3 linked regions of the Oreochromis niloticus genome follow. The protein of the gene in region 1 interacts with the protein of each later gene in a pairwise test. Links are inferred from orthologs where the notes say so. Each region holds a gene or a part of one and is shown on either strand. Other genes may lie near its edges.

What was found. The genes of interacting proteins can lie anywhere in the genome.
Region 2: the proteins of txn2 (region 1) and scyl3 interact in binary tests that used the Homo sapiens proteins (3 or more experiments, as listed by UniProt). The two-hybrid records come from large-scale screens. The link is inferred for Oreochromis niloticus from reciprocal best matches to the Homo sapiens genes TXN2 and SCYL3.
Region 3: the proteins of txn2 (region 1) and rbm45 interact in binary tests that used the Homo sapiens proteins (3 or more experiments, as listed by UniProt). The two-hybrid records come from large-scale screens. The link is inferred for Oreochromis niloticus from reciprocal best matches to the Homo sapiens genes TXN2 and RBM45.

What each region holds. Positions count from the first base shown.
Region 1 is NC_031969.2:8,127,290-8,134,601, reverse strand, and holds the start of txn2 (thioredoxin, mitochondrial), read right to left. Parts: upstream 3,019-7,312; 5' UTR 2,864-3,018; intron 255-2,863; coding exon 1-254.
Region 2 is NC_031986.2:42,757,914-42,765,323, forward strand, and holds the start of scyl3 (protein-associating with the carboxyl-terminal domain of ezrin), read left to right. Parts: upstream 1-4,397; 5' UTR 4,398-4,554; intron 4,555-4,576; exon of another isoform or gene 4,577-4,806; intron 4,807-4,919; 5' UTR 4,920-4,997; coding exon 4,998-5,162; intron 5,163-5,622; coding exon 5,623-5,808; intron 5,809-5,990; coding exon 5,991-6,104; intron 6,105-6,949; coding exon 6,950-7,006; intron 7,007-7,086; coding exon 7,087-7,189; intron 7,190-7,278; coding exon 7,279-7,390; intron 7,391-7,410. Other genes in the region: lpxn (leupaxin), read right to left, coding at 827-860. UniProt on the Homo sapiens protein: May play a role in regulating cell adhesion/migration complexes in migrating cells.
Region 3 is NC_031978.2:5,580,250-5,588,131, reverse strand, and holds the start of rbm45 (RNA-binding protein 45), read left to right. Parts: upstream 1-4,869; 5' UTR 4,870-4,935; coding exon 4,936-5,211; intron 5,212-5,575; coding exon 5,576-5,698; intron 5,699-6,115; coding exon 6,116-6,242; intron 6,243-6,415; coding exon 6,416-6,547; intron 6,548-6,657; coding exon 6,658-6,828; intron 6,829-7,346; coding exon 7,347-7,476; intron 7,477-7,882. Other genes in the region: cytochrome c, read right to left, coding at 1,403-1,577, 1,681-1,701. UniProt on the Homo sapiens protein: RNA-binding protein with binding specificity for poly(C). May play an important role in neural development.

The DNA of each region.
Region 1 (7,312 bases):
GGCAGTTCGCTGTTGATGACCCTCTCTGTAAAGTCCTCGCTGTCCTGCACATTGAAGGAGACTTCTCGGCGGGAGGTGTGAGGCAGGGCGCGAGGCAGACTTCGTGACGGGGAGAGAAAGGACACCCGGGTTGTAGTGGACTGAAGGGATGTGGAATAACAAGAGGAAGCGACGGAGGCAGTGGACCTGGGGAGGCAGCGGATATCGTTCACAGACAGTGTCCAGAGTCTTCGTAGCAGCAGCCTGTGAGCCATCTTTGCACAACAGGCAAAGATACAGAAGATAAGTGTTACTTATTATAATATTAATATTGCATTTCAGACACTTCAGATTATAAGATTTAAAAAAATACTAAGAAATCTATCCAAAAACGCTATAGGTCCCATCCCGTATCCACTCTTAAACCCTGCCTGAGCTTTACAAACTGGCACCAGTTTCCAGGACTATAGTTAGTGATAAATTAATTACATGGTGACACCCACAATATTTATTTCCAGCTCCATATTTTCATTCTTGACTTGTACAAAAGTAGTTTCGCATAAGTTACTATTCTAAATAATCCATTTTATAGGCTTAAGATCCCTTTTTTTCTTATGCTGCACTTGGTATAAACTGTCGATAAAGTGTTTAACTGTCGATAAAGTCCCAGTTTATCTGGTAAACAAATATAAAGTGTAATAAAAAAATAACTAAATCATATTTATGCGTGAATGGTTGTCTGTGTCTATTTGTTAGGCCTGCGACAGACTGGCGACATGTCCAGGGTGTACCCTGCTGGCTGACAAAGACTCATTCAGACTGATTGCAACATGTTGGCAGTCCATCTGTATTTATATATTAGACAACAGTTATCTCCAAACCTTCAACTCTCTCAAAGTGACTGCACTCAGTCCAAATCAGACTGCAACTGTTTGCAGAAAGGTTACTTCCCATCAGGTGACCTGCGCAATCACCTTGTGATCAAAAGTGGTTGTGTGGTAACCATTTAATCACGACCAGGTTGCAGAACATGAAAAAATTCAGTACAATCACCAGAAAGCCACCGGTGTAGATGTAAGGAGGTCGCTGTCCTAGTTTTGCGTGTGTGACTGAGTCATTAGCTTGCTCTGAATTAGGAGGCATCTTTGTAAAGCTAAGTGTAACCAGCGTTTGACAGTTTATCAGCTGGGCTGATTTAATGTGAGTTTGCTCGGCTCATCATCTCATGACGTGAGCCTTCTTGTTCATAGTATTTTAATTTATTAATTCATTTATCAATATTTGCTGTTCCTGTATCAATGCAATAATGCCACGCAAAATATCACAATACAATGTTGCATTAACCCCCCCCCCCACCACACACACACACACACACACACACACACACACACACACACACACACACACACACACACACACACACACCCCTCTACATGAGAATGGTGATATGATCTGCTTTGTTTGACATCATATTGTCATCAGTGCTGTTTGAACTCAGGTTTTGGCTCCCAGGGGACTACCTGTATATGCACTGACCTTTTTATTTGAAACTTTGGCCATGTTGAATATAAGCATTCACCAACAAATTCAGAAAAAGCACAATAGGTTTGCTTTTAACACATAAGTAAAAAAAATAAAATAAATAATATCGGGCTAAACCAGGTAATCTTTTCTTATGTCAGCAAATTGCCCATTTCCAAAACTGGAACTACTGGAAATGGTCTGTGTGGTTTAAGCAAATGAGCTGTCTGGATAGATGGGATAGGAGGCAACAAATGCTGGACTGATTTGTATTCGTACACAACTGACACATCTGTCAGGCAAGTTGGAGAAAAAAGGTCAAGGAATAATCATTTGGACTGCTTTTAAGGAAAATTATATTTTAAAAAAGTCAGTAGATAGAGCGTGTGTAATGCTACTTTCTGGAGGATTTTAGATTCAGTATTATTTAATTAAATATCATTAGGATCTCAGCTGTTGGCCCAAGAACAAGGGCTGAGGTCCACTTGGGTTTAGATCAGGGGTAGGGAACTCCAGGCCTCGAGAGCCCCTGCAGATTTTAGATCTCACCCTGGGTCAACACAAATGAATCAAACGATTAATTCATTACCAGGCCTGCGGAGAACTTCAAGGCATGTTGAGGAGGTAATTTAGCCATTTAAATCAGCTGTGATGGATCAAGGACATTTAAAACCTGCAGGACAGCGGCCCTTGAAGCCTGGGGTTCCCTACCTCAGGTTTAGATGATTATGACATCTTTTCTCCTTTTTTGCAGAAAAAACCTGCAACCGTCACGTGCTGTGTGCGGGAAAAATAATCACTTAGAGTATCCTCTATAATACACTCACAGCTAACATTGTTTTGAGTCACTCAGTGAAAAACTTCTAGTCTCACACGGTTTAAGCTCTCGAGCACGAGCTGTTTAATGAAGAATCAGCGCTAATTAACGTGATTAGGGCTCGTGAGCGTCATATAACGAGTGACGTGAACAAACGAGTTTATTGGCAGAACACACTCAGCCATGTTGCCTTGTTGAGAAACACTTTCTTAATCCCACGATGGATAAAAAGCTTTAAGTATTCAGAATTTCCCCACTGAGAACGGCCCACTCCCCTGCAGCTCTCTGAGCCGTTTTCTCGGCCTAACATCTTGTGTTTGCCGCTTATCTACCGGCAGCTCGCGTGCTCCATTAATCTACGTTACGTATGAGTTTGCCCTCTTCGTCCTCCTCCTCCTACTTCTCCTCCTCTTCCTCCTAAACCTTCCCCCGCCGCTGCCTCCTCGCGTTAAGCAGCACGCGAACACCGAAACCGGACACTTTGAGAACAACACGTTCTCAAATGTCACACACATTAAAACACGCGCCCGCATTTTCACAGCTTACCTCGCTTCTTCTGTCGGCGCTGGTCTTGATCTTGGCCTCGCGGACCAATGAAGTGCTTCCGTTTTGGTGCCGCAGAAAAAAAAGGGAACGTGCGGCTTTTCAGCCGACAGAGATCAGTGAGTGGCGCCACCGGCTGGCCAGGTTTGGAAGCACAGGGTTGGATTATCAGCGTAGCATACTTTTATCTACTCTATATTAACCTGACAGCTAGTTTTAGTTGTAGTTTATAGTAGGTTATATAAGTATTGTATGTATTTACATATTCATACAGGTACAATGAAAACAAAAGGCTAGTCTATTACTGACCTTAAAAATAAATGCTGCTGCTGGAACTCAAAGACAGATAGTGCATAACCCCCATCTAACCCTACTGTGTGTTGTCCAGCAATCTTCTTCCACTATTGTACTATTGCAGAGCTAACACAGAGAGGCAGATAACCATTCACCCCCTGCCACCATTCAAGAGTTGCCAACCAGCCTCATCCATGCATGTCTTTGGACTGTGGGAGGAAACTAGAGTACCCAGTGAGAACCCATGTAAGCCGGGGGCGAATATGCAGACTCCATATAAAAAAGACCATCTTGCTGTGAGACATCAGTACAAATCACTGCACCATGGTGGTGTTGTTGGATGAAGTCTGTCAGACATGGGCAAATGGTTTCCCTTGTTTCTAATCACTCTGCTAAGCTAAGTACACAGTCAGATTCCAGTGGCTTATTTACACAGACCTGACTCTAAGTCTCTCCAAGGCTTCCCAAAATATCCACACAATGAGACAATGAGCAGGAAAATATAGTTTTAGATTAAAACCTTTGTGGAGAAGCTTTGCTCCTGTGAGCCATTTCTGCTGAGAAGCATCATCATTCCTTTAGTTTTATATAGCGGACACGTCCATGCTTCACCTTCCTTTATTTTTCACATTTTATCACATCAAAAGCCACACTTCCTCCAGGTGGACACCTTTTTTTCTTTCAGTGGAGGGTTTTCCTGATCTGATCAAGGATGTAGACAGATCAAGGATGTAGACTGATCTGTCTACGGGCCTGTTTGAACAAAAGCACTGACAGGAAAGCCGGGCTGTCTTCAGCTCTCGGATCTCCAGCGCTGTTTTGCAACATCAACCGCCTGGGCTCTTAGCCAGCCTAGCCCTGCACAAACTGCTCCACTCTTTATTCTGCAGCTCTGGAGCCGTGCTGCCTGCAAATGCACACATCCCTGAAGCTTCAGGTAGCCAGTTGCAGGTGTCAAACATATGCCAGGAAACCATGTGCAAACAGCGATGTGCTCAGAGGTTCAGTCCAGCACCACACAACTGGATGCCATTGAGCCTGAAGTGCACTCAGATCTCCACAGATCAGGGGTTTAAACATAAATGTTTTCTCTAGTTTTAGAATGCCCTCAAAGACAAACTGCACATCAGGACAGTCCATCTGCAACAACAACAACCAGTGGGGTCACCAGTCTGGTGGGCCAGACTGGTGACCCCACTTCAGACATCAGAGGAGCCTGCGGTCAAAGGAAAGATGCAGCAAAAGAGGAGAAAGAGGAGAGGAGAGAAGCAGAAATATATCATGCAATGTCAGATGTTTCTGACATGATGTCTCAGTGAGTCAACAGAACATCTGGAACAGGACAGATGTGATGAAAGGGAGAAGTTTTCTACAAACTACTGCACCCAGGAATCTAGACCCAGCTTGGCCCTGATGGTCTCCCACACACACATTTTTCCCCAGGGTGAATGTATCTGCTGATAATAAATGTTCCTGTTACCAGCCTGCAGAGCTTTCTGAGTGTATAACTGAATGTAAATCTGTTTAAATTTTAAGTTTGTTGAGATCATCCTCGGTCTCATGTTAAAACCTCAAAGGGTAAAATTTAATATACGGGTCATTCTGATATTTATAGTAACTGTAGGCCTCTGTGGAGTGTGTATGGATGACATCATCACTGCGTAGCACTCACCAACAAGAAGCCACTTTGATCTTAAGTGGGCTGAAAATGTGAAACTGCCCTCTCTGTCACAGTAAAGATGTTGAAGTACACATTTAGAAAAACATAAAGTGCAGTTTCAAAAGTACTGTCTCAGTTTTTCTATATGATAACGAAATAGTGCTGTAGTAAACAAAAGAAATCTATCATCATAGATAAATAAATGTATAAAACTGCAGAGGAAGTTATGGTGTGTTTTTTATTTCCTCTATGGACTTATTGTAAAAAGTAGACATTTATAGTGATAAAAAACAGGAACTTTTCTGTGTTTTAACTGCTTATCATTTACTTCATTACTTTGGTTTCTAATAAATGGGCACGGAGGAAGTCTTTATCAGTAGGAAAAACTGTAAAAGCAATGAATATACAGTAAAAAAGTTAAAAATTGATGCCTTCCTATTTATTTTTCAAAGCTGTCAGTTAGAGTGTTTGCTGGGCCGATTCTGGCCCCAGGGCCTTATGCTTGACACCCCTGGACTAGAGGCCCTGCTCATGTATGGATCTGGATTTTTTTTTCCCTATATATCTTATTCAGAGAAAGACATTTTAGGCTCTTAGTTTGTTTGATCTCAAGTTTTCTTTTAACGTCATGTGTCCATTTCTCCAGCAGAGGGTGCTGTTCGTAGTAGCCGGGGTGGGATGTTGATCAGGTTGAGGCGGTTGGGGCATGAAACAGAGCGTTGCTCTGTGTGTCAGGACCAGAACACATGAGCCTCAGTCCTGCTTACCGCTCGTTTCACACACACACCCCGCCTGCACATGTTTACTCTCAACCAACCCAGACTGTTTGTGAGTGAGGCTCTTTTTTCACCCCCCCAACCCACCCCACAAGCCCTCTCTTCCTGCCAAATAAACATTGCACCGGAAATTGCAGGGATTGCTGGGATTTTTGAGGGGGTCCTGGTAGAAAGGAGGAGACGACCAGAACAAGGCTGCTTTCTGTGACACCTTGGAGGTGAGGGGTAGGATGCACGTGCGAGGATCCAGAGTGGAGGGCGTGACCCCTGCTTTAGGTAGTTGATGGGTGCTATCATTACGATACAAACAGGTAAAAGAGACCCAGTTTCCTGTGATACCCTCCTCCACTTCAGAAAAACCAGGAGTGTGTGCTAAGTTTGACCTCGGTGGGCTAAAGGTCAGGAGGGAAGTGATATTCCTGTGACCTTCAGTGGACTGTGCCGTGGACCCAGTGACGGTGCACCTGACCATTCTCCTCCTCTCGTGGCTGTTTATTCCCTCTCCTATCTGCACAAGCCAGCAGTCGAGGGAATACAACAGCCGCCGATGGAGCCGGGCTTTCATAACAGCCCCCTGACAAAGCACACATGAATGGCAGGGTGTGTGCCCTTTGCGTACACAGAACGCTCCCCTCCCGCCTTTGTGTGTGAGTTTTGTCCCAGCTCGCTTCCCATAAATCCCAATGTCTTTACTTGATAATAACAGCCTGGAAAAGCACACAGTATAAAGCCTGTTATTGAGCAGATTGCACCACAAAGATTATTCCACTTGATGACCTTCTGTTTATCTCAGTTAGTGTGAGACCGTATCCTCTGTGAACAGTCACATATTCTACAGCTGACGAGCCATCAAACTTTAAACGCTCTCGCCGCCGGCCTGTAATTGGGATTCTCTGCCTATACACCATTTCTTAATTATGGTCAGTTAGATCAGATGCATGGTACATGTGCTGTATACACATATGCAGCAATGACATGGCACCAAAAGAAGTTCAAACGAACGCTTTCTCATTTGTCACCAAAAGTTTGAGCGTGCAACTATCTTTAAACCGAGCTGTGCGCCGTGTTTACGGGACGACGCGTACACATCCTGGTGTGAGTGTGGCTGCGAGACCATAAAGTATGCCAAACGGTGGCAGGCCTGTGCTTAGAGGATGCATGTGCCTGGATGTACACGCACATATGGGATGACGCACTTGACAGATGCATGAAGCGTGTGTGTATGTGTGTGTGTCTATGTGTTTGTGTATATAAGCTCCCTGTCTTCTTTTCCCAGCTCTGCTCCTATACTGATCTATGATTCTGTGTTTGGGGAGTCAACAGTAGAGTTCCTGTCCTTAGTTTAAAAATAACTTTGGGACTTAAATTCCTTGCCCCCTTCTCATCCTTGCTAACTGGCACTCTCCTAACCTCGCTCTATGCTTGTTTTTCTTTCCCTTTTCTCCTGTTTTGGAACAGTCTGTACCCTTGGTCCCTTTTTTTTTCTTTCCTTTTTTTTGTCAGTTATCCTAAATCCGTCTGTGGCAACAGAGAAATGCCTCAAATTACCAAGGGACGGCAAATAAAAATTCAAATTTCTTTGACTTTTCCCAAAGAGAACCCTATTTCTGTTACAGTTTTTAAAAAAGAAACAGGGTTCTCAAGATTAATAAAACTAATATACAGTATATGAGCAAGATCCAGAAGCACTGCTGCCTACTCTGGACTCAGTTCAGCCAAATG
Region 2 (7,410 bases), on another chromosome or scaffold:
GTGAAATATTTTCTATGAAGTAAGATACAGTGAATTTCAATACACAGATCAAGACGCTAGCAGACTAAGGTTGCTCATGCAAGTTGCATTCCTCAGGAAGTGAGGGCATACCACATTGCAGAAGTGAAACTTGTGATAATGTCGCAAGAATCTGGTGACATTTGTTACAGCAAATACAACACTCCTCCACACAGGGCAAACCACACATCTAGGGAAATGGGAAGCTTTTGTATGAGTAAGTATTTTACATACAAGTAGCAAAAAAGACAAAGGTTCATTTTAAAAAGTTAAAGACATGACTTTAACTTTCAATGTCAGTAAGTCAGTAAAGATCATCATCTTCAAACAACACCGCACCTCAGAAAAATCTTTTATGACATTGTGAAATTAAAACAAATTCATTTCTTTTTGTCTTACCTTTTGACCGTCACCCTTATTTCATTTCCAGTATGGGAATTAAACGACTTCGTTAAGACTTGTAAAGTCCTACTGTATTCTAAATGTTACACCGTATTTGATTTGTAGTGAATCGCTACATGCAGAGCACTACAAATCAGAGGTAAAACACAAGAACAATGGTATACAAATTCCTTCAAATGAGCTGGATCATTAAGTACATTAAATATTGTACTTAGAGTCTGCTGTATAAATCAGTCTGAGAACACACAAGACTGTGGTAATACTTCATAAGCACTGGCTGTGCTTGATCTCATGGAGTCAACATTCTAATTCCTGATTTTGCTAACAGTTTCGACCTCAGTTTAAATTGTACCATCGATTAGTTTGAGGACATTTATGAAGGTAAAACATGACAGAAAGTTCTTACCGAGCTCATCCATTTTGGTTCCTTCTGACAGCATAAAACTTGAACGTGAGTGGGTGGCTTTTTTTTTCTTTTCTTCTCTTTGTGTGTGTGTGTGTGTGTGTGTGTGTGTGTGTGTGTGTGTGTGTGTGTGTGCGCGTGTGTGCGTGTGTGCGTGCTGGTTAGTTGCTAAGGCAACTGAACTCATTTCTGATCTGATCAAAACCGTCGCTTCCTGTGAGGAAGGTGTGTTTTCGGTTGCTGCTGTGTGAAGAATTGTCAATAGCTAGGAAGACGTTTGTTTGTTTCCTGAAGATGAAAACAGTGAGTTTTATAGCAATGCAAGTGTGATGCCAACAGAGTGAATTTTTCACTTATTAAATTTGTGCTTTTGTTAAATATTTATTGCATATTTCTTTAAACAAGGTGTGTGTTCTGTTGTAACATTACCTCCACTGCAAGTGGTAGAAAAAATCAGCTTCTCTTAATTACTGATTAACATGGCGCTGATAAAACTCAACATCCTTGTGTTCCTAACACAGAGTCAGACTGACATTTTGGTTCACAGATACAGAAAATAGTACAGAAAATATCATTTTGAAGCTGTGTCATGACAGTGTTTGCCCAGCAGAGTTTGCTCTGACTCCACTGTTCACAGTTCTCTTAGCAGTGCAAGCATCACATGCAGCAGGATCCATCAGTGGAGAGTCAAGTAATGTCTTCACCTTAAGTTAACCTCAGTTTACACTTGTGAAACACATTGCTGGAAAGTTCATAAATAAACTATTTAATGTAACCTTGCACTCTGTATTTATACTCATAAAGAATATGTGGGATTTGTATTCCCTAGAATATGCGCAAAAGAAGGAACATTTTTTTTTAAAGAGATCTATTTTCTGTCGCCTACATTGTAGAGGGCGACTTTGCCTCTAAACAGAAAATGAGTATAGCCCGGGGTTATAGCGGGATTCAGCACGTAGTGGAACCCTAAAATCGGTTATAGTGGCTCAGCGTGGGGAAAAGAATCGCAATTTCTATTGTGAGCTCTTGTAGATCTTCTTTGTGTACAGGCTGTGATCAGATGATCTGGGGTGCTGCTGCTCTGAGGTTTATTGCTCTTTGTGGTTTAACACAACTGAATTTAACAAGGTGTGAGCAGGTGTTTCATGAGTTGTCCTGTTCCATCCTCTACACTGACACTGTTTATGCTGTCCTTATACTAAACAGTATGAAGGTGGAATTCAGTGAATGAATCCAAGTATAATCAGCTTACCTTCAAATTCATCTTTGCAATACTTAATGTAACCTAACTCTGAAGACCACAGCCACTTTGCACCAATCTAACACAACGCTTTATTTTAAATCCATCACATTACTGCAAGTGAACCAGCTTATCCTGAACTAAACTCCATATTTTCATGCAACCTTTAAATAATACAGTTGGTCTGTGTCAGTTTTTTTTCAGCACATTTTACAACATGAAAAAAATAACATAATATGTACAAACCTGATATTCAAATTTCCAGTTTATCAAACACCACCGAGCAGAAGTTAAATATAACCTCTCTTCTTCCTCTCCTGCCCTGTCTTTATCTCTCTCCATCTCTGAGTGAAATTAACATCTTCACAGCAGATCTACCTTTCTTTAGCTAGCAGACACACAGTGTGACAAACTGCACACACAAAGAGTTTGTGTGTTTCCTGACATTTGTTGAGGTGACAAAAAATTACCTGCTACTTAAAAAATATCACTCCTTTTATGTTTCTCTTGGTCCTCTTCTGTAGTGCTAGCTAGATGCTGAAGTACAGCAACTGCAACTTACGGACATGTGCACCCATTCCTGTGTTGTGCCGAAAAGTGATTATCTGCCAAAAATTGATTTCCAGTGTTTCTATGTGGGTTTTTTTTATGTGTCATGTCTTTACTTATATTGGTCAATAGACTTTAGTGAACAGGATTTACAAAGGGGTTATTTATATAATTTAAAAAATACATGTTTTTCAAGTATCTTTATGACTCTGGGTTACTGTACCTACATTGTAACCAATCCAGTCCATTTTGGAAGTATCTTTATAGAATTATTGTTATATTTGTTGCAATTCCTGCTGTCCTCTTGGCCAGATTACTCCTAAAAAGACATTTGTTAATGTCAATTAGACTTTTTAACTGGATAAATAAAGTATATATAAAAGTCACTTTCCCAAAAACTGATCTACAACGATAGGAATGTTGTTTGTGGCTCAAGATGACTTGATATCGTTCATGAGGGATACATTTGACATATGTTTTAGATATTATAGGCCAACAAGTTATTTATGGCAATTTAAATACAGGCAATCACTTTTTAGCAAATACTGGAAATCAGTTTTTGGCAGGCAATCACCTTTTGGCATTTTAACCCCTGATTATGGTCTCTTTCATCTCTTTTTATGTGACATATCCTTGTGAATAATACACGAGTAAGATTGCCTTTCATGTGTTGCTGCTGAGGCTCAAATTTTGAAGGTTTGATGTTTGAAGATGCACACTGACATGAAAAAAAGAACTCCCCTCAAATGTCTTAAACCAAAAGTACCGAGTCTGTTTTGAAAGTGTAAGGAGTAGAAAGTACAGACATTTGGTTAAAAATATAGGTAATAAAAGTAAGAAGTTGTTAGAAAAAAATTAATACTTATGTAAAGTACATATACCTGAAAAGGCTACATACTTACAGTAACGAAATATTTGTACTTCACATCTCCACTTCGACTTGTGCAATTTGCCGTCATGGTGAGGCTAGATCATATGCCAGCTGACATAGGATGAGAGACAGGATACAGCCTGGACAGGTCACCAGTCTGTCTCATATGCATACATGTTTTCGGATTGCTTGAGGAACCCAGAGGACCCAGGGAGAACATTTGAAACCAACACCTTCTTGCTGTAAGGTGACATTGGTAACCACAACACAACCCTGCAGCCTTTAGTATTAATTCCAAAAATCCAGTAATGGTGGTGGTGGTAAGGATGGAAGCAGTTCTAATAAACAAGCAATGTAAAGCATATTTGAAAGATATATATTTTTAAGAACCCCACTAACATAGAAATAAAGTTTGGGATGCAAATTTTTAGATTTAACATCCCATGATGGCTTTACGTGAAATGGTAGTGTTTATATGGTTTATTTTATTTAACCTAGCTGTGTTTGGGAGTCTCGTATATTATGCATATCATCATTATAATAAACCGGAATGAACTACGAAACTATGCTTTGACAGCTTTTTAGTCAAGTCAAAGTCAAAGTAAACTTTATTGTCATCTCCGCTATATCCAGTGATGAGGCTCCGGTTACATCAGTGCAAAAAAGCCTAATAAATAGATATAAAAGGAGTAAGAAAATAAATATACACTTAAGACGATATTAACTTTTATAACTATGTGTTACCCCAACATTATGGACGGCACACCCGCTTTTCCTGAGAATGAAACAGTGTGCTTTTTAGAGTTTCAGTAAGACAGATAGTGACAGTTTCTATTTTCACTTCACTCACCATCTGGCGCTCAACTCTCCGCTGATTACTTGCGTTATCTCGCACCACTTTAGTCGCAACCATTATCTTACGGGGTGGGGTGTTTGTTCTTTTGTATAAATCTATCAATAACAAAGAAAACCTATTAACGAATGATTTTATGATGAAGGGATTTGAAACCTGTATCTGTTGAAAATAAAGTTGAAAAACATTAAGCTATTCAACCAAGTGAGTAATTACAAGTAAGTACTACCCCCTCCTCTGTGGTTTCGTCTTTTACCGGAAAGGTCCTTGTTTACAGCACAGCTCTTGCTCCACGTTAGCATCGGTGATTTGACAAGCAGGAAACGGGTTTTTTTTTTAAATAAACTTTTAAAGCAGTTCGCAAAACTCATTGAATTAATCCGTGGTATACTTCGACTGGCATGATTGTTTGGAGGCGGAAAAGCTACCGACAAGGGCAGCAATGACAAGCTTGCTAACGTAGCGCTAAGGTTAGCCTGCTAGCTAACTTGTCACTAAGTGGTGCACCCAGTTTACTGAAACAGGTACCGGTATGTCAATTTAACTCTATAACAAGTACTCGTGTCTGCTTCTTTACTGACAGGCACTCGCACTGCCACGTATCACGCCTGGCTTGCTTAGTTTATGACCTGACTGGCTGCTCATAAGAACGACCGCGGTCATGGGTGCGGAGAGCAGCGCGGTGCGGAGCTGCACCCTGGAGGAGCCGCTCCTGACTCTGCCCACCGGACCTACCATGTACTCGGCGGTGCTACAGGATGGAAAGCCCGCTTCTGTGTTTGTTCACAAACGTGGCAATGAAGACAAAGTCAACAAAGCTGCCAAGGTGTGTAATGTCCAGATGTCGCTGCTCGCCTTTGCCGTCGCTCATGTGCATTATGCATGGAAGTGTGCAGCCAGCACACTGCTATGTTCATGTTAGACACAAAGTACCGCTGCAACGTTGAGACATTTTTACCAAACTTCTCCAGTCGGTTTTCTCTCTTTTCTGAAACTCTGTAGAAAAAAAAAGTTATTTAAAAAAGCGAATTAATGCATCACGTGTGATTGTGTGTGAAGTTGAGCTGTACACACGTGTGTAATGTGGATGTAACATTTTAATTAAGAAAAAAATTAACATGGTTTTGCTTAGTGGAAGAGCCACCTCCAACTTCAGTATTCTCTGTTGTGACTAAAATTAAATAAGTGGAAGTATGAGTTTTATTGTGTCTTAACTGACGGGTAAGTTAAAATACTAATTATTTGCAATTCTTACATCTGCTTAATCATCCACACATTTCACCCAGCACCTGAAGACACTGCGACACCCATGTCTACTGCGCTTCCTGTCCTGCTCAGTCCAGAATGGTGCCATCCACCTGGTGACAGAGCCTGTGCAGCCCCTGCAGCTACTGCTAGACAGTCTCTCCCCAGAGGAAATTTGTGCAGGCATCTATGACCTCCTGCAGGCACTTGTTTTTCTGCATGAGAGGGTGAGTGTTTCTCCAGTCTCTGCATGATTATATTAAGGCATGTGATAAAAAATAAAGTGGAAAAACAAGGTGCCCTGTAGATGAAGATGGAGAGGGTGATTGACCCTTGGATGTCTTTCTGTCTGCATTAAACATGCATGCATATTCATGCAGGTTCCAAACTTGTGTTGCTCTTCCACCAGGGTAAGTCGAGCCACAACAACGTCTGTATTTCATCTGTATTTGTCAGTGATGATGGTGATTGGAAACTGGGAGGGATGGAGACAGTCTGCAAGTTCTCTGAAGCAACTCCTGAGGTAAGAAGTGCATTAAAGCCATATGGGCAGTCATGTGAAAAAGAAAGTTTCAGAAGAATTCTTTACTGTCCTGTGAAAAACTAAGTAAATATCAGTCTTCTCAGTCTTTTACATCATAGTGGAAGAATAACAACTCTTTTTACAACATTGTTTCAGTTCATTGAAGTTTGCAGGCATTGGCTTAGGAGAAGCTGTCAAATTTCAATTGATTTAAGGTCTAGACTTTGACTTAGCCATTGCAACAACGATTATTTTCTATTTTTAGATATTCTGTAGATTTGCTTTTATGTTTGGCATCATTGTTTTGTTGCATGTTTGCATGTTGTACTCAAATTTTGACTACTACTTGAAGTTTTATCTGTTGGATAGAGTTGGTCTTTGGTATACAGAAAAGCTCATGGTTGACACAGCAAAGTGCCAAGGTCATGTGGTTGAAGAGCAAGCCAAAATCATCATCCCTCCACCACTGTGCTTAAAAGTGTTTGTGCTGATGAGCTGTTTTTAATTTTTGCTTGATGTGATTCTGTGCATTATAGCTAACCATTTCCCCTTTGATATCATGTAGCCAAAGGACATAATACTGGTTAAGCCGTTTTCTAATCGTACTGTCATAACATGCTGATATTTGAGAAAACATTTTGTATGACTGTAATATCACAATTCAGTCTGTGTGTGTTCACTCAACTAATGCTACGTTGGCAAAGATTTATCCAAACATTGAGCCATTTTTTCTTGCAATGTATATACAGTTCAGCAGTTTTAATGCACATTTTTAGACTGTTTAAAGACTCACTCTGTAAAATATCAGGTTTATGTTCAATTTTGGATATTCCTAAACTCCTTAGTTCCTCACAAGCATCCAGAATGCAAGAGAGGCCAGCTATATTCCTCCAGAAGAGCAGGTAAGCAGATTAAAGTTAGTGATTGACAAGAAACATTTCCCACTGTGTTGACAGGTTTTCAAGAAACTTTTTCTTGGCAGGTGGAGGGTTTTAAAATCCTTCCGGATAAACATGCTCACTCTCGGGACTGTTACTCTTTTGGGATGATGGTGGAGTCTCTTGTTCCTCTCCTTAATGGCTATGGTAAGGAGAGGTGACCTTGAATATTACATTTCATTTTTTCAGGTTTAACCTGCATGTGCATTATCATATACTTGCACTGTTCCTTTCAGTGTCACAGGAGCTTGCTGCCAGCTTGACAAAAACACTGCAGGCAGGCCTGTTGAACTCTGACCCCATGTCGCGGCCACCACTCAGTTCCTTGCTCACCAATGACTTTTTCAGGTTTGTCTGGTCATGCTTGA
Region 3 (7,882 bases), on another chromosome or scaffold:
GCCGCATTAATAAAAAGCATTTAGCTTGTATACAATCTTTTAAAAAAAGGAATTAAAGCTACCATTTATAAGTCTAGTTTAGACTCAAAACTAATTAACTGAGGTGAAAATAAATGTCACCTAACACCTCATACTCATTTGCCTTCTTCTGAATGAATCTCACTAGAGACTTGTTACAACTCTAAACAGTCTTGTAGCAATTGAACATTTTATTGTACAAACTGTTTGTGTACTCCAAAAGTATCTGATGGCTTGTCAGATGACATACTGCTTCACCACAAATACAGGATATTTGTTAGTGTCAGCAGCCTGCGATGTCAAAACAGTCACACTGAGACAATAGCGGAAATTTTAAAGATCTGTCCTTTTGTCCTTGAAAACACCCATAACCTTTAAGAGTACTTCTCTCAAGAGCTGACCGTTGCTAAGCTACAAGAACACGTCTTTATCGCATCTACCATTATCTTGACTGATATCACAGACCTGCCCCTTCTTGAGTTTGAAGTTGGGAGAGGAAAGTTACAGAAGGAAGGAAAAACGCCACACGAGGACAGTTTTACACAAAGGACTTTGAGCGTGTTGGCCCCCAGCTTCAGCAGGATTTATAGAGAAAACAAATGGTGAGGATGACACAGGGATCGTTAGGCCTGTGTGCACAGTGAAAGAGTGCCATGTGACCTTTTATGAAACCTAAAATGGCTTTGTCATTTGCAAAATGTGAAAGAAATGTTCAAGTAATCCAACACCATTATAGTCAATGTGCACTGCATAACATGACAACCTCAGCAGGTCGTTATGTTGTTTTGGATTTCCTTTTTCTCTTTTCTTTTTTCCCCCCCATCAGAGCATCCAAGGCAGTGGCAAGAAAGACATGGCACTCTTCCAAAAAGGGCGACAGGAGACCATTTTATTAACTTCACTTCAAGAGTGAGAAAAACCACCTGCAGGTACAAACTGTGTGTGATTTGAGCTGAAAACAAAAATGCATTCTGGGAACCTGCAAGACTTAAAATGTGAAAACGGAGGAGGATATGAGACTTTTAAAGCCTTACAAAAAAAAAAAAAAAAAAAAAAAGGGTGGGGGGGGGGAGTTTAACTACTTTTAATATAGATGCTTAAATGGGAAGCCTTTGCCTTTTTTAAAATTAAAAAAAAGGTTAAAAAAAGAAAAAATATTTTGCTTGTAAGCTACTGATACAATATATAAACATGAAACAGCCCTTTAAAGACTTCTGAATTTAAAAAAGAAAAAAGTTTGTGAACATAAACTACACACTTATTCAAGTGAGGCAATTTCCAGAAAAATTCCCAGATTTCAGACAATGCCAATCTCCCTTCTTTGGTGATCTACATCTAGCATACAAAGGTATTTATACTCTACTCAGAGACCCAGTGAACTGACCTTTGCTCTTGTTGGCGTCTGTATAAGTGAAGCCTTCTGCTTGTCCGGTCTTCCTTCCGAACAGACCCCAGAGGTTGGGGCCCACCTTATGCTTGCCACCCTGCTCTACCGTGTGGCACTGAGCACACTTCTGGACAAAAACCTTCTTTCCCTTTTCAGCGTCTCCCATAGTTGACTGGAGAAACAAAGGCAACAGGAAAAAGAATAGAATGAGATGAAAATGCAGTTTAAAAAGCAAAAGTAAAAGTATACAGAATTATGAAGGGCTCTTTAAATACATCAGACTGTCTTCTATTCATAGCCCAGTTAGGAAGCTCAAAGCTCTAATTTGACCCCAGCGCCATTTTGTGAAGGTCACTTAAGGAGACAACTCCATAACTTTGACCATCTCTTATCGCCGGCTCTAACTTTACAATGCATTCAGGTAAGTGATCGCATTGCCCTGTGCGCTGGCACGACGCCGAGATTACCCGGAAAGCTGACAGAAAAGCAGTGCAGGAAGCCGAAACTACACCGCCCTTAAAACACGTTGGGCTAGCCACGAAGGGCCTCAGCTCGAGTTACTCCAGGGGGGAAAGGTTGCCAGGTTTGGCGAGTAAAGGAAGACCTTTTTAATGATCTTGCGCCATGAGGCAGAAGGTTTACCGAGGGGAGTCAAGGTTAATGTGCTTAGCGGAAAACGTGCTGTAATTACTAAAGCACCTGTGGCAGAGATCCGGCCGGTGTTTCTGCCATAAAGTCGCTTCTACTTTAAAGATTAAAAATGATGGTCTATCATCACTGGGGGAAACATTTTAGTGCAACACCACTAACATGACCCCGGTCCCCAAAAATCCTCTACCGCCCCCTTTTTCATTAAAACTGCCTACAAATCTTACATATATTACACATCAACCATCATTATACGGTTAGTTTTTTGAGTTACATAATATAACGGCTAATTTTCTCATTCTAGTTCTTAAGAGACGAACCGCACTACATCGTATGCCATTTACAATAGACGCGTAGCCTCCAACATGGCGGCAGCCGGCTGAATGGCATCCTCCTCACGTAATATCAAGGACGTACACCATTTACCAACATGTATCAACATGTATTCGCGGTCTATGTGGCATTTTCGCCCGATTTTGACGTTTCGAATCGCTGACTCAAGCTCAACCTGAACTCAGCTTGGGTCAACCATCGTGCTAGTAGTACGACAAGCCGGGTATGGGTCGCCCACCGGGGCTGTCAAGGATGCTTCAATGTCGGCGTACGAAAATTGCACTTCAAAGCTGCTGTGTTGCCCAAATGTGTTCCCAAATCACACAAGAGCTCAAGTAAAATGGCTATAACGTTTAAATTACCTTATTATTCCCCCATAACGGACTACGCAATGAGAGCACAACCGGGCTATTCACCAACGTGGGCGCTAACTCCCGCTACATGCTACTGTTGCGGCTCATATCCTGTTACTTATAATAGAACCTCGATTCTCCTGTAAATAAATTTATAAAGTATGAAATTTTACCTTTGATGAGAAGATGTCGGGTTAAAAATACTCTGCTGTAGGTAAGTAACCGGCTCAGCCTCGGCCGACAAGCGGTTTGTGACGGTCGCAAAGAAGGTCACTTCACTTTAGAGGCACCGGCTTTCGACGTCATCACAGCCAATCATGTGCCGCGAGATTACCGCTTAACCATTACGTGTCGGTGTAGTATCATTTCTATAAACTGATGTAGCCTCATCCCTGTCATAGCTTTAATTTTATATAAAGAAGTCGTTTAATTTGTATGAAAAAAAAAATACAATTTAAACACAGAAAACACTCATATCGTGTCTATATGTAAGGTTTTACCAAGAACGCAGCAAGTTTTGTTATGTGTGTACACGCGAGGCGACGAGGCTGAGAGCAAGAAAACGAAAGGGAGTTTTAGTACAGGCCCCAAGAATCTTGTCGCATTCCCTCCAGAGCCATTATAGGGCAAAGGGAACCTGCTTTTCTGGAGAAGTTTCATGAATGATTTTGGCAACCGAAAGTACTCCGCGTTTAACTTGGTAACAAAAGATAGCCTTTTAATTTAACAAAACTGACACGTAATTTAATAAGTCACTCAATGAACGTATACTCTTAAGTACATGTAGTCTCCACAAACCAATTACCAATAGAAAACGTGTGCATAATGTTTACAAATTATTAAATAAAATAGATTGTCTTCTTTTTATGTCTTCTACTTATCTGTAGTTTCTTACATTGCCTTTTGCACTCTACATCCTTATCCCAAAATGAAGCCTCACTCGCAAAGTGAAATTTATGTGGCTAAATGATATTTATATTAAACATGAAAGACAGAAAATGAAAAAAATAAAATAAAAAGGTTAAGTGCTGAGCCTTGAGTGTTTTCTCAAGGTGACACTATGTGTCCCCAGGATAGTAGAAAAGACTTGTTTTACTAAACACAAAGACATATAGCGAGCATCATTCACAACATATGAAACGGGAATACTATTATGACAGAAAGCGGCTATAAAATCTAAACGTTTGTGCTCAGAAGGGTCATTCAGCACGTGACCTGTAAGCACCTAAAAATACACGAGCGCGCGCGCACACACACACATGCAAACTAGGATGCTTTCAAAATTAATAATCTACCCTTACAGCACATCATATTTTTAACAGCACGTGTTTTATTTAAAAATCATGGTCTGCCATTATAGATATAATCTTACAACTTTTCTGGTCGTCTGTCCCCAGCACGAATGTGACTAACTCTCTCATCTCTAACGAAGGGCTAGTTCCCTCTTATTTCTTTAAACAAACACACACAGAGGCAGACAGAACGAGAGCTCAGGTAACTATTTCACAGCTGATACCTGATGTTGTCTAAGAGTGTAATCCTGTGTCAGGTATTTATAGAACACGATTAATAGGATTAATAAGCCATCAGGTGTTCTGGTTTGGTGATAAGTCCCATTACTCATGTTAATTAACGTGTTAGTTACAAAACCTCTCTGCAGCATCTTTTCGTAAGACCAGGGTATTTTGTAACACCTGCATTTCTCCTTCCTGTGCTGCAGAGGGCAGTAAACGCAAATACGTGTCATCAGCTCCGCGGATGCCTTTAAGACTGTCGGAATTTCTACAATTAATTCACTAAAGTTCTCATTTGACAGCGAACAAAGCAATTCACTTTCTAAATATTTCAAGATTTAAAACAAAAGTACTAAAACAACATTTAATCTCCTGCCTTATAAGCATTCTCTATGCACGATTCAATCTCATTGCTTCTCTGATTCATAACTTTTTCTAAATATTTAAATTATCAAATGCTTGCAAATGACTACTACAAGCGCTAAGTCGTGAATTTTTAAAAGTCTCAATCTAAATAATGTTAATGAAGGAAATTACTTTTCCAAAAGTTTTTTTTTCAAACCACGTAAATAAACACGTAAATAACAAGAGCCGTTATAATTTACTTAACAAATGCCGTGGAGCACCTGAAGGCAGCACTAACAACTGCAAGCAACACTGCTGTGTTTACAGGGAAGCGAAGATGGAGGAGTATCCCTCCAAACAAGTGCCCGAAAACCTCGACGACCCTCCCAACAGCCGACTGTTCGTGGTGACGAGTCGGTCCATCACCGAAGATGAGTTGCGGGAAAGCTTCTACGTGTTTGGAGACATTCAGGGGGTCTGGGTTGTCAAAGACAAGCAGACAAAGGAGTCCAAAGGCATTGCCTACGTAAAGTTTGCCAAGTCTTCTCAGGCCTGCTTGGCCATGGAAGAAATGCATGGCAAAGTCCTGGTGGAAGGGACTAAACCTGTTAAGGTAATGTCAATGGTTAGGTCTCCAAAAAGATTATATTTTGTCAGCTTCAGTTCAGACTGTCGATTTATAATTTGCGTATAGCTAGCATGCTAAAGGGGCGTGATCGCTAGCTGCTTTCAGTTCACATAACCTCAATTATCTACAATCTCACTCTTATGTGCAAAATGCTGTTTAAATTTTAAATATTTGGAACTGAGAAGACAAAACATGGAATATTCATGGCTAGGGATAAATCTTATTCTTAACTTTACATAAGAAAAAATCATAGTTGCGATTCCTCTTCGAAAATATACAATTAACGTGTATCTTCCGCTATTATAATGCATCATTTGTGTCTCTTTGTTTGGAAATGTTGGCTCTTCAGGTGTTTATAGCCCAGTCACGGTCATCAACGAGACACAGAGATGTTGAGGATGAGGAGCTGACCAGGATTTTTGTCATGATCCCCAAATCCTTCTCAGAAGAGGACCTCAAAGAAACATTCAAAGTAATACTTCTTCTTTTATGGCTTCGCAGCTCTTTGCTTGCCTGTGTTTTTTATGTGTCTAACGGAAATTGCGTTGATTGTTTAATGTCAGTATTGTGTTTCCTTTATAAAAAATATTTGTGTGCTCACCCAAAGAGGTTTTGGCCATCTATCAAAGAACCTGCACCAGGACTGTGATTAAAGTATTTTGCTATAATCTAAATATATTTATATTTGTCTATCAAATGGCCTAAAAATAACAGGAACATACATAAACGTGTGTTAAGTAAGAACAAAAAATCATACTTTAACTATATACAGACCACTTATGCTTAGTGTATATAGTGTGTTCTTTTAGACCATCTTATTTCAGCCTCTCTAGAACTCGCTGACACTCCTAAATGCTCATTTAGATTCTTTCTGTTTTCTGTTTTGCAGGAGTATGGGGATATTGAGTATTGTGTGATTATCAAAAACAAGTTTACAGGAGAAAGTAAAGGCCTCGGCTACGTAAGATACTACAAACCCTCCCAAGCTGCCCTCGCCATAGAGAACTGCGACAAAGGTAGGTCTGCCAAACTCATTTACTTGTTCATTAATCCTGGTAGAAGCAGCAGTATGAACATCAAATGTACAGAGTGGTTGGTGAACGGTTACAGCTGTGGTGACTTCTCACTTCAGTTAACACTTAGTAAAGGGCATGTTTATGATTTAAAGCTGTGGAAATGGTGTTATTAGCCTACAGGGCCATCCTGGCTGAACCTCGAAGCAAATCAACAGCAACAGAAGATTACAGCTCTGGAGGAGCAGCAGCCAGAAATGATTATACTGGCGGCTCTGAATCCATGAACCAGTATGCGTTCTCATTGGGTACGAGTTTCTTTGTCATCAGAATTTACTACCACAGAAAGGAAAGGGTAAAGGTCTTAGTATTATCCTCTGTCTTGGTACTGACCCTGGTGTCCTTCTTCCCTGTTTAGGCGACCCTGGGAACTACACAGTCATAGATTACCGCCACGGTGATTTCACACGCTGTCTCATGGTGTCCACGCGGGTTGCACTCAATCAGGAGCAGATTTTTTCTCTGTTTGACATTATACCTGGCATGGAGTACTGCGAGCTGCAGAGGGATGCCTATGGAATGAACAAAGGTTAACAGTTCAATGTTATTTATATACCTCCAACATGTTACACCAGTCAGAATCTGTTGCAGTGAGGAGAAAAAAACCCTTTTAAAACGAACCATCTGCAGAATGAGGCTCAGGGACGGTAACTGTCCAACTTGACCTGTTGGGCCAAGGAATCACTAAACACTGAGCAGATTGTTGGGAACAGTAACCTCAAAGTAAACTCTTACAGAACTTAGAGCCACCAATGTTATGGGTTTAATCATCTACAAATGTGACAAGATTTTAATCATGAATGTTTTCTTAGTGTGACAGAGAGTGACTAAAGAGATTCTATTTTTGATTGCATGAGATGGCTAAAAGGAGCAAACCTTCACATTTGAAAAACTGGATGGAGCTGCTGATTATTTTACACACTACATCAGCTTTACTCTAGTTTGCAGTCTCTGTTCTCTGTGGATGTTGATGTGGTCCATTCTGTTTTGATGACTGTAAAATATTCCACTCAGACCTTTTCTTTGCTGTGTGTCACCTGCCTCCAGGCCATGCTTTGATTCGCTACAGCAATCTTGGGTCAGCACTTTATGCCCGAGAAAAGCTAAACGGCTTTGAATATCCACCTGGAAACAGACTGGCTGTAAATTTTGTTGACGACGGCGAGGACCGCGGCAGGTATACACACATAACTACACAACAGTATATGTTTAACTTTGAGCCTGCAAAAGGGTCACAAATTACTGGAGCCTCAGAGAAGAAACACCCTTTAAAGTTAATATATCCATAAATTAAAAAATAGGAATGAAAATGCCACTGATAATTAACTGTGACCTTGTCTGCACGCCTTCTTGGCCATGTTTTATTTGTTGTTAAATATTCACGGGTGAATGTTGTCCCCTGTGGGTTGCAGTGACCGGGCAGTGTTTTTTCAGAGTGCCGTGACTGCCTTTTTAAATTTTACGTGATCTCAAAGCTGTTAGCGATACACATTCACAATATTCATGAACTTCACACTCTCTCTAGTAAAAGACATCAGAAGAGCAGGCGGACGTTCTTGAGTTATACTTCTGTGTCAGATCTA